Linked DNA regions of Nothobranchius furzeri. The protein of the gene in region 3 purifies or fractionates together with the protein of the main gene of each other region. This does not show direct contact. Links are inferred from orthologs where the notes say so. Each region holds a gene or a part of one and is shown on either strand. Other genes may lie near its edges.

Evidence for each region.
Region 1: the proteins of cops4 (region 3) and ddb2 purify together in Homo sapiens (affinity purification with mass spectrometry; 7 studies listed by BioGRID and IntAct, counting the BioPlex papers as one, with this or other methods). This does not show direct contact. The link is inferred for Nothobranchius furzeri from reciprocal best matches to the Homo sapiens genes COPS4 and DDB2.
Region 2: the proteins of cops4 (region 3) and dtl purify together in Homo sapiens (affinity purification with mass spectrometry; 3 studies listed by BioGRID). This does not show direct contact. The link is inferred for Nothobranchius furzeri from reciprocal best matches to the Homo sapiens genes COPS4 and DTL.

What each region holds. Positions count from the first base shown.
Region 1 is NC_091744.1:65,534,110-65,538,252, forward strand, and holds the start of ddb2 (DNA damage-binding protein 2), read right to left. Parts: upstream 2,850-4,143; 5' UTR 2,717-2,849; exon of another isoform or gene 2,616-2,716; 5' UTR 2,614-2,615; coding exon 2,481-2,613; intron 2,384-2,480; coding exon 2,271-2,383; intron 1,756-2,270; coding exon 1,564-1,755; intron 1,477-1,563; coding exon 1,280-1,476; intron 1,140-1,279; coding exon of another isoform or gene 973-1,139; intron 677-972; coding exon 577-676; intron 1-576.
Region 2 is NC_091742.1:7,894,543-7,898,194, reverse strand, and holds part of dtl (denticleless protein homolog), read right to left. Parts: intron 429-3,652; coding exon 363-428; intron 261-362; coding exon 145-260; intron 80-144; coding exon 6-79; intron 1-5. UniProt on the Homo sapiens protein: Substrate-specific adapter of a DCX (DDB1-CUL4-X-box) E3 ubiquitin-protein ligase complex required for cell cycle control, DNA damage response and translesion DNA synthesis.
Region 3 is NC_091746.1:62,999,853-63,003,504, reverse strand, and holds part of cops4 (COP9 signalosome complex subunit 4), read right to left. Parts: intron 1,654-3,652; coding exon 1,503-1,653; intron 1,391-1,502; coding exon 1,220-1,390; intron 9-1,219; coding exon 1-8. UniProt on the Homo sapiens protein: Component of the COP9 signalosome complex (CSN), a complex involved in various cellular and developmental processes.

The DNA.
Region 1 (4,143 bases), on a different chromosome or scaffold from region 3:
GCCCCGGCTAGATGAGTTACTTCTTCTGATAACTGAACTGGGCATGAACTAGTTGAAGGAATGCTGGAGGAGTTTTGTTTTTGTTTTGATCGCAAAAACAATTTCAGGCTCTACTTTTCCCTTTGTTTACTAATCGTGTCGCTCACTGTTTAAATGCTTTTGCCGTCCAGCATGGTGGACCCACGTGATTAGGTGACATCGGTGCAAAGGGTCAATTGTCATGTTACTGTTAGCCAGTCAGAGCTGAGATGTCCAAATATTAGGAAATAAGACTTCAAAACCTGCCGTCTGAAACTCAGCTGTGATGTGGCTCACTTCTAGTTCCTGGAAATGGTGCTCCAGCATTTTTTCCTTCTCTAAAACAAGACTGTTCATGACCTCTGCCTTAGCAAATCTGCTGATTCTCTATCTGCTGCTTTCAAGCAGATCCGTTTCATTTTTAAAGCAAAATTATTAAAGACCACGCTTACATTTTCGGGGCAGTTATGACAAAATAAATAAAATCCAGACATTTAAAATCTTAAACCTCTAATCTATAAAGAATTGGTAGAGATTGCATTTAAATAAATAAATTACCTTTTGACCATCCAGTCCGACAAGTAAGAGCTGCCCTGTGTTATCACCGGTAACGAGCATCTGCCGACTCACAGACACGTCAACACAGCAGTACCAAAAGCTGTGAAACACAATGAACAAGTCAAGTTTTCTTCATTCATTATGTGTTCAAAAAGCTCTAAAATAACCTTTTAATAAAGAAACGTTTAGATATTCAACTATGACGCTAAAGACATTAAGTCCTGAACATCACTCAATCACATCTGTAAACATCTACAACAACAAATGTGAACTAAATGTCTTTTATAATAAGATGTTTAAATCAGATTAGCTTTGAACGATTTTCTTCTTTACCAATTTGAAGAAAAGCGACGAAACGAGTCTGCCTAGCATCAGTCTTCTATGCGGTTTTCTCACCAGACATTGTGGTGCTCGTGAGCACAGTCCTGAGTTCTGGACAGCAAAGTGGGTTTGTGCCCCTCAAAGCTCTTTAGGGTCAGCGTTCCCTCTCCAGAAGCCACGTAGACCTTGGACGAGTCCATGGGACAGAACTTCATCCCTCCCAGAGAGTCTCCCGCTCCATTCTGTCCACACACACACAGATCCAAGCCAGTAAAGTGGAAGCCACCACTTCAGTCTGAGGCAACCGGACGAGAAGACTGATGCTAGACTGAACAGGCCTGACCTCTGACCTTTACAGACATAAGGAGCTCTAAAGTCTTACTTCAGTGCATCTGTTCTGGCAAAAACTGTAAGTGTCGTCCCACTGAACTCTCGCAGGGCTGTCGTACCCCCCATGGATGAGGTGAACAGCTGAGAGGGGTTTAACTGGTTAAACTTCATGTCTGTAACTGAGTCTCCAGGCCCCATCTGAGCAGAAAACCAACAACAGTGTCTTCGTGCTCGTCTGACATACACAACCTGGAAATCACCCGTAACAATCTAATAAGCCCCAAAGCTGCTGCAGTGCTGAATGGGGGTGAAAACCAATCCGACGCACACACTCACCCCTTGAATAAAGCTTTTTCTCGTGGGGTTGTTGAAGTCCCACAAGAAAATGTCTCCACCTTTAGAGGCTGCAGCCAGCGTGGTGGGATGGGTGGGGTGCCACTCCAGACAGGTGATTCTGCGATCGAACGGACTGCTGGCGCCGTGGAAGTGGTAGGAGGACAGGGAGCGAAGGAAGGGCTCCTGGAGACACTGCAAGAGACGAGGAGCACCTTTTCACCACATACTCTCTCCATCAAGACAAACCGATACATGCTCAAACACGTCTGGTGCTCCTCTGATTCACTTCTGGATTAATTATCAGTCAGAATATAGGAACCTGTTCTGCAGATAAAGAACCAAGACCCTCACCGGGGATGGGGATGTGTCACACATGCACCTTAGAGTGCGTGAAGAACCGGAAGCACTCAGCATTTTTACTCTGGATTGTATTATCTTATAGTTCTTATTGCTTTAATACACTTTTTTACTTCCCAGGAACAAAGAGAAACCTGGTGGTGCCCTGGTTTTGGGGCATGTACATCAATTCATGCTCGACTCTCTGAGAATAAAATTCCATGATTGCTCAATGAAGATATTTGTTTTATTGGACAAAATTACTGATTTAACACTCTAAAATAACATAAAAACTATATAAAATGGAGGTTTACCACGCATAATGAACACAACCTGAACTGAGTTGATGCAAGCTGAGCTTCATGTCTTACTTGTCTCATCTGAGAGTGTAGGCTTTGGCCCAGGGTGCTTTTGTAAATATAATGCAGGATGCTCGCATGGTGCCCGTTCCTCCTGTGGACTCTTGAAAACTTACAAGGAGGCCCTGTGAGATATAATCACATTCGTCTGTCAAAGCCAGAACATTTCAGGTACAGACAGCGTGAATGAAATGAAGCTGTCCCATCATCAGAGCTGCACACCTGGATCAGATGTTTCTCCATCCTTTCTGTCTCGTGGTGTTTTACAAACAGCTGGATCAGAGTCTTTTGCAGCTCGTTTCTTCTTACTTTTTGATTCGCATGCGTCCGACTTGTTGGCGGGCTTGTTTTTCATGTCTTCCTCGTTGAATCGAGCGTACAACACAGTATGAAAGACACGAATCGCCTCGACAACGAATCCTCGATTTGCCTAAACAGTTTTCATTGCTGCCGCTTACCTGGTCGCTGGTGAACGCTACAAGAGAGGCCAGCACCAGGAACTTCGGCGTTTGCATAAGCAGCTGTAAACGTGACTATAATGGCTGCAAATGTTTTGTAAGATGGGTGCGTTACCACTGGATGGCTGCAGGTGGCACTGTGGATAAAACACATCACGATCGTTAGCCATGTTTAGAGTCGTCGTCGTTGGACTACAAAGTGACGTCACCTTAAGTTATCGAAAATGTTCTTTTGTATTGTGTTTATTTAATGTTACATTCTTAAATATAGTTTCTGCTCTAGCTGTACTAATGATTCATTTGTGTATCGTAGATTTATTTTAATGACACTATCACAGGTTTTAAGGCTTGTAATAAAATTATTTTATGCCAATTTGACAAACATAAGCACAGATAAAATAGGTTGTGCATGTTTCAGGCCACATTTATTTATTTGTTATTAAAATATTCAGAAGCATTGATTGAAAATATACATTAAAATGTTCTAAACCTAGTGTGGCAATTCATCTAGCTGTAATTGTAATAATTAAATATGTGAAAATACATGCAGTTACTCCAAAATAACCAACTCATTTATATTTATAACAAATATAAATATAAACCAATGTTTATATTTATAAACAAAATGACTTTGTATACAAAAAATGTTACAATAAATTCATAAGAATTAGGCCACTCTGGCTTCAATGTCCATTAACCCTGAGGAGAAAACATTCTAAAATTATGATGACATTTCCTTTGAGAAAATCTGATCCAGATATCTTTCTCTTTTTCTCACAGGAAATAAAATAATTCAGTTTAAAAATATGTATGCAGTTATCCCTTGTAACGACTTTCTGCAAAAGCAAGTCAACATAAATATCAGTTCACCCAGATATCAAAATAGTAGAACACCTTTTTTCTTTGCAATGTCAAAAATGTTTCTTGGAAAGATTTTCAAAAGTTCTTGTTGTGTGAGAATCTATTCAGCTTTCAACTTTTGATCTGATAAAGGATTGTTGTCTGACAGGACATGAAGAATCAAACCGTGGTAACAATGTAATCCTTTTGACTCAATTTTTAATTAGTAAGTGCTGTTTTCTTAAATCATTTCCATTTTCCACATTTTAAGTGAAATAATTGATTCCAGAAAGCGTTATTTCATTGAAACAATAAAAAAAACTAATTACTAATAAGTCAATAATTGTATTTAAGAATTAAAAGTAATATTTAAAATGGCATTACTTCCTGTTTATGCTGGCTGTTTTTATTTTTTTCATAGACTGTCGTTTGTGTTACTTTTTCCGTTCTAATTATCTTTTATGAAACTCGCCTTGTTCTAATATGATTTCTCAACAAAGGTTTATCAAAGAAAGAGGAGGGGTAATCAAAAACACGTGATAATGTCTATGAGCTCCTATTGGTTGTTTTCGACATGGTTGGAAAAA
Region 2 (3,652 bases), on a different chromosome or scaffold from region 3:
TTTACCCATCAACAGCTCCTGAAGAGATGAGTGTGTGTTGATCCCGAAACAAAACCACAGTCACACTCTGCTGAGTATCCTGGGAAAACAAAGATAAGAGATTTTTGTCGTACCAGGGAAAAAAAAGATAATTCAGAAACTCACCACACTCGGAGCCATCCCACGTATGCTGCTCCGTCTCTTCTTCCACTTAGGAGGAGGATGCAACTCTGCTTTGTTGTGAGCGCCGCTGATCTGTTTGACCTGCTTGTAAAAGCCATCTGAGAACGAGACACAAATCACGAGAAACACACCAAGAACATTAATCACCCAAATGCATTTACTTGCCAACAACTGAAGCATTTGCAGCAGAAGTTCCTAACCTTTTTGGCTGCACCTTATGTCCCAGACCATAATATTTCCATCTCTTCCTCCAGTGCAGAAAACAGCTGTTTGTCAGAAGAAAATGCAACAATTATTGGATGTTGTAGGAACTATCGACGTTTCTTCACAAGATCTTCTGTAACGAATCTGAGGGAATCACCAACTGAAGACACAATTTTACTGAAAGACTTGCGAAGAGGATCCTTCATGTCCTTCACTTTGTGATCTGTCTTCTTTTGTCCAATCAGCTCTAGACACTCTACACTAATGTCTGTCCTTGATGTAGGTAAACTGCTGAGTCTTGACCTGATGAGTTGGCTCTTCTGCAATAGGCCATCCTTTTGTGTAGCTGCGGTTTCGCCGGTGTAGAACATTCATGCTACTCTCCACTTCCTACACGTAGACAATAGCCACAAAGAAAAGAACCAGGACACCTCCGCATTTCCATCTGTAGACGTTATCTTTGTATTTGAAATAAGTGACGAAAAGGCATGGATGTTATCGGTCACCAAGAAGCTACATGAATGGATAATAGAGGAGATTACGCGCTACACGACAGACCTTCAAAGTTAAAGCCTCATTGGTCCTCACACACTGGTGAAATTCATCTCCGCATTTGACCCATCCCATGGGATGTGGTGAGCTGCAGCGGTGGCTGCGCTCAGGAACTATTTGGTGGTTTAACCCCCAATCCAACCCCTTAGCAGGGAGGCGTTTGTATGACCAGACCGGGATTTGAACCGCAATCTCCCAGTTCCAGGGAGGACACTCTTCCACTAGACCACTGAGAACATATCTTTCTGCAAATACTAAAGATGTCGCGCCTGCTCTGCCCTTTCTTACAGCTTTGCTGTTGAGTCTCCAATAGAAATTGCTGTTCAGTAGAACACCAATATCCCTCCATATCTTCTTCCACAATGGAACCAGGGTTTGACATAATACATCCATCATCTTTTGCTTATCCGTGGTCGGGTCATGGGGGCAGCAGCCTGAGCAGAGACGTCCAGACTTCCCTCTCCCCAGCCACTTGGGCCAGCTCCTCCGAGGAATCCCACGACATTCCCTGGCCAGCCGAGAGACACGATAAATGACCCGCACTTGTAGAGCGCCTTTCAGAGTCAGAGGAATTAAAAGTGCTTTACATTACAGTGTAACATTCATCAATTCACACACTGGTGGTGATGAGCTAAAATGTATCTCAACTGGCTTCTCTTGATGTGGAGGAGCAGTGGCTCTACTCCGAGCCCCTCCCGGTAAACCAAGCTTCTCGCCCCATCTCTAAGAGAGCCCAGACACCGTGCAGAGAAAACTCAGTTTGGCCACTTGTATCCACAATCTCGTTCTTTTGGTCACTACCCAAAGCTTGAAGAGCACGTCACCCCTCCATTGGCTACCGTTAGCTGCACACATCAGATTCAAATTGCTAACGGTAGCATACGAAGTCCTGGATGGTACGGCTCCCATCTACTAGAATCCTCTTATAAAGGTGTACGTCGTGGCCCGGCTGCTCTGGTCATCGAATGGTCGTCACGCTCAGGACAATCCAGACTCTTCATGTGTCGTTCCACAGATGTGGAATGCCCTGCCAAGCACTACCAGAACAATCCTTTTGGTTTTAAAGAAATTCCTGAAGATCCAGATTTTCTGAGAACATCTTCCAAACTAGCACCCTCCCAACACCCGTCCTCCACTCTACTGTCCATCCTTATTCACTTCCCTTTGTGATTCATTATGCTGTCTCACTGCCACCTAGGATTGATTGATTAGTATTTATTGTTAGCCTCAAGGGCAACCTGCTGGCTTCATTATCGCTTGTAAGTCACTTTGGACAAAAGGTGTCTGCTAAATACGTAAACATAAACAAGACTGAGCGGTAAACCGGGAGCTTTGCTTTGCGGCTCAGCTCTCTCTTTACCACGACAGACCAGTGCAATGCCCAGTACAGCTGGGATTATTGACATATTCCCAGTTCTTCAAAACAACTTCAACAAATGAGGAGCAGAGTCCCCCTGGGTGCTCCCGACAACTCGTTCAGACAACATTTCGGTCTCACACCAAGGTCTGTAGTCACTGATCCAGGGGTTGTGGAGGTGTCCAACTGTGTCTTCTCAAGTTTCTTTCATATTAAAATCAGCCTGGATTGTGTTCTGGAAAAGTCAAAGAACATAACCCACAGTGCCACTCGCTTTGATCGTTGGAAGTGTGTGATGATGTCTTCAACTACAGCTGCATGATGATAATGATGTATGATGTTACTGCAACAGATGGAGATTTCTTAGGCAGGGCTTCTTCCAGAGCAATGGAACCTTCACCTGGGTCAGGCTAAGGTTGACCAATCCCACATAGGTGCTTCGGCCGTTCCTTGAGGACTTTGGATTTGAAACCATCTGGTTATGCAGCTTTAATCAAGTTTAGTGTCTCCATTTGCCTCTTCATCGAACTGCAGAAGACAGACAGGTGCCAGGAAGGAGGCAAACGGAGCCTTTCCTGATGTGGTTGACAATGATGAGGAAACCGCAGCAGCTGGAAGATAAAACGGTTGAGGTGTGTTGGGAATCTGGACGAAGGGACAGTAGATGCGTTTGGCTGGGGACCAGAGAGGAGAGCGCTGAACTGAAGCTTTTAAAGAACGAGCCAAGTTCATTCAAGCTTCAGCTTGGGAACTCCTCATCAATTCATATCTACACTTTGATTTACTCTTTACTCCACAATGATTCCATGTCTCCCTCCCTTAAGGTTCTTCTTTTAGAGTTCTTTCAGTTCACATTTGACCCAGGGTTTGTTGTTGGGGTGGCACCTCACTGTTCTTGACCTTTGGTTGATTCTTCATCACTACCTTCTCCTCATTCAGCTCCATCAATTCTGCCTTTCCCGGGATCCACTGATCACTTACTTATTCGTTTTCCTTTTCCTCACATTTTTTCATCACAAACTTTGTACTTCTCCTAATTTTATGATTTTTTTAATCTTGTGATTTTTTTTCTTGAGAAGTGCCATATAATCCTCAAAATCTCCCTGTGATCATCTCCTCACAGTTCCTCTGGTCACAGGTTGACTCTAGACAAGGGGTGTTGCACAAAGGGCAGAGAAAGACAAGATAAGGATCCACGATGCCAGGAGCTGGATGCATCCTCGACGTTGGCAAATAGCAAATCCAGCGGGTTTTTTTCCTCTGGTGGAGAAGCGGACATGCTGCTGAAATCTTGGCAGTGCAGCAGAGAGAAGCATGGTGAAAATATCCAGATAATACCACAGATGCTTTTGGGGGTTATGTCTGTAACGTAGCAAC
Region 3 (3,652 bases):
TGATGCGCCTGGCTCCACAGCAGCGAAACGCATCAGGCACACATAAAAGACAGAAAACATAAAAGGAAATGAGCCGACATGGACGATCGTGTGTTAAATTTGTTTGTGAGGTGGTGGTGACACCTAATTTGATAATGTTACTGTGGCGGTGCTCAGGACGCAGATGTCTGGAGCGTGTCAACAATCAGAGCTTTGCATGCGCAAGCTGGTTAAGATTAGGATGGGGGTGAGGGGAAGGTTAAATTGCAAGAGGGTAAACGTCACAATTTGGTTAAATGTCCGTTTTACGGAGGGTGTCAGTGCCGACGCTCTGGCACAGCGCGTCCCCCCCGCCTCCCGACGCGCAGGAGCTTGTCACCTGCTGTCTTTTCCCAGGACTGCATCTTATTATCACGTGACAGCGACTAGTCGATGACAGGCATAAAAAGTCCCTACAGAGCAGTGAAGTCGACTAGACGACTAGTTCATACAACCCCTAGTTTCCACTGAACTTGTTGATCAAGTCCGACTCTGATTTGTTGGGAAGTAAAAATATTAAGACATTTTTTCTACTGGAATCACAAATAAGATGTCTGGGACAAAATCTGGGGAGATCACAAAGTTGGGATCCCCTCCAGAACTCAAGTCAGTCATGCAGCCATTGTTCACATTTTCTAGTCACAACTTATCGCAGAGCATATTAATTATGTCCCTATTTGTTCACAATTCAATCTAATTTTATTTGGAATCGCTCTATCTCCTATTTGTCACACTTTCAGACTAGCGTAAAGTTTTCCGAGATGTTCAAAATGCCAGCGACCTTAGAGTGATGCCTTGCTACTCACATGAGGAAATGGAGAACATTTACAAATGCTTTGAGGAATTTTTGGACTTTCCCTTATGAATGACTGGCTGTTTTAACTCTGAACAACCATCTATGCAATATTTTGCTTCCTGCTGATGTTCTGACAGTTTTCTAGATTTTCTAAGCACTTTGTGACCTCTGTGATGGTACAAGTACAACCAAGTGAAGCCTCCTTACGTTACTCAGACAAACAGTATTTTTTCAAACAGAGATGCCGTCCAATCAGAGTTGGGGTAATCAGCATGGGTCAAAAGAATTAAATGTCTTTTTTAAAACACCAGACTACAGACAGCAATTACAATCAGAGAGCAACAAATCACCGCTCCAGCTCGAAAACAAAGATCCAGAGATTGTTACGGCGCCATCTCTTCCTACCGTCTGCTGTGGTTGCTTTCTGGTGAGGCATCAGCATGGCAGCAAACTCCTGGAGCTGATTTCCTCTGATGATGCGGTCCAGGTACATCTTCTCCAGAATACCATAAGCAGCCAGCTGCTGACAGCGCTCATCCTTGAAGAGAGTAGCCAGCATACGAGACCTCTGTTGTCCTAAAGCACACGACATTGTGAGGAAGGAGAAGCGAAGAGCGGCTGATTAAGTTTCTCCTCCACTCATCAGGAGTATTTCTGAACACGAATAAAACCTGCAGACAGCTCGTACCTGCAGAGGCTAGTATGGTGCAGTTCAGGGCATGTTTCAGTGCCTCCAGACGTTCACTTTCATGAACAATAGACTTGTAGGACAATTCGTTGTATCGCTGAGCAGCTTCAATGAACTTCCTCCTGAAATCTAGCACTCGTGCATAACACACCTAAAAACACAAGCAGGCATGACTGCAGATGTTTAAACTTCAGGATAATCAGCTGATTCACGTGGTCGATGTCATCTCTGACTCCCACATTGGAGTATTTTAAAAAAAATCTATTTACAATCTCTGGTTACTCAATCTTCTCAGTGGCCTAGTGGCAGAGTGTCCGCACTGGGACTGGGAGATCGGGGTTTAAATCCCGGTCGGGATTTAAAAATAGGACCCAATGCCTCCCTACTTGACACTCCACTTTACGGGGTTGGATTGGGGGGTTAAACCACCAAATAGTTCCCGAGCGCAGCCACAGCTGCAGCTCACCGCTCCCCACGAGGATGGGTCAAATGCGGAGATGAATTTCACCAGTGTGTGATGAATAAATGGAACTTTAACTTTAATGAAGTGTAACCTGTTCAAGTGGTTGTTAACACGAATATCAGCCAACCACACGGCTGCAACTCAGTGGTTTTACACGTTTGTTGACGATGACTTGCTGAAGTTCAAAGGGAAACCTCGAATGAGGAAAAGAGACAGAAGTGACGTTAAACGTGGCATGATGTTGGTACCAGACAGGCTTATCTACCCACAATCTACTGGTTTACAGAAAATGTTCGACATGAGAGAAAATATCCAGTGAGGTGTGTTGTAAAGCAATTCCCCACCAGGACAACAGAGAGCGTAGAGCTTTTCTGGGGTATCGTGCCACCATTAGTCATATATCTAGTCCACGGTAGTGTATTTACTATTGTATACAGGTCCTTCTCAAAAAAATTTGCATATTGTAATAAAGTTCATTGTCTGTAAAGTACCGATAAACATTACACTTTCATATACACTGCTCACAAAAATTAAAGAAACACTTTAAAGAAACACATTAGAAACATCAGATCTCAATATGAAGTTGGATATCTATACAAATAACGACAGGGCAATGTCTTAGGAACAAAAGGATGCCAAGTCTTTTAATGGAAATAAAAGTTAGCCTACAGAGGGCTCAACTGTGTAGACACCCTAAAATCGGAGTGAAATGAAGATGTGGCAGGCTGGTCCATTATTTCAAAAACTTCATTTCTGCAACTCAAAATGCTTTTCAGTATCTTGTGTGGCCCCCACGAGCTTGTGTGCATGCTTGACGACGTCGGGGCATGCTCCTAATGAGACAACGGATGGAGTCTTGTGGCATTTCCTCCCAGATCTGTGTGAGGGCGTCCCTGAGCTCTTGTACAGTCTGAGGAGCAACCTGGCAGTGCCTAATGGACCGAAACATAATGTCCCACAGATGTTCGATTGGGTTTAAGTCAGGGGATCGTGACGGCCACTCAGTTGTTTCAATTCCTTCATCCTGCAGGTACTGCCTGCATACTCTTGCCACATGAGGCCGGGTATTGTCGTGCATTTGGAGAAAGCCAGGACCTACTGCATCAACGTAGGGTCTGACAAAAGGTTCAAGGATTTCATCTCAATACCTTATGGCAGTCAGAGCACCATAGAGATCTGTGCGTCCCTCCATGGATATGCCTCCCCAGACCATCGCTGATCCACCACCAAACCTGTCATGTTGAACGACGTTGCAGGCAGCATAACGTTCTCCTTGTCTTCTCCAGACTCTTCCACGTCTATCACAGGTGCTCAGGGTGAACCTGCTCTCGTCTGTAAAAAGTACAGGGCGCCAGTGGCAGACTTGCTAATTCTGGTGTTCTTGAACAAATGCCAGTCGAGCTCTACGGTGCTGGGCAATAAGCACAGGGCCCACTACAGAACGTCGGGCCCTCAGGCCATCTTCATGAAGTCTGCTCCTGATTGTTTGGGTAGAGACATTCACACCAGTGGCCCTTTGGAGGTCATTCTGTAGGGCACGAGCAGTGCTCAGTAGAGGTGTGAATCTTCACTTGTCTCCTGATTCGATTACGATTATTGGGTCAACGATTCAATTCGATTCGATATCCCGATGCATCACGATTATTTCATATTGATTTGTTTTCATCGATAAATAGAAGATGTCAGA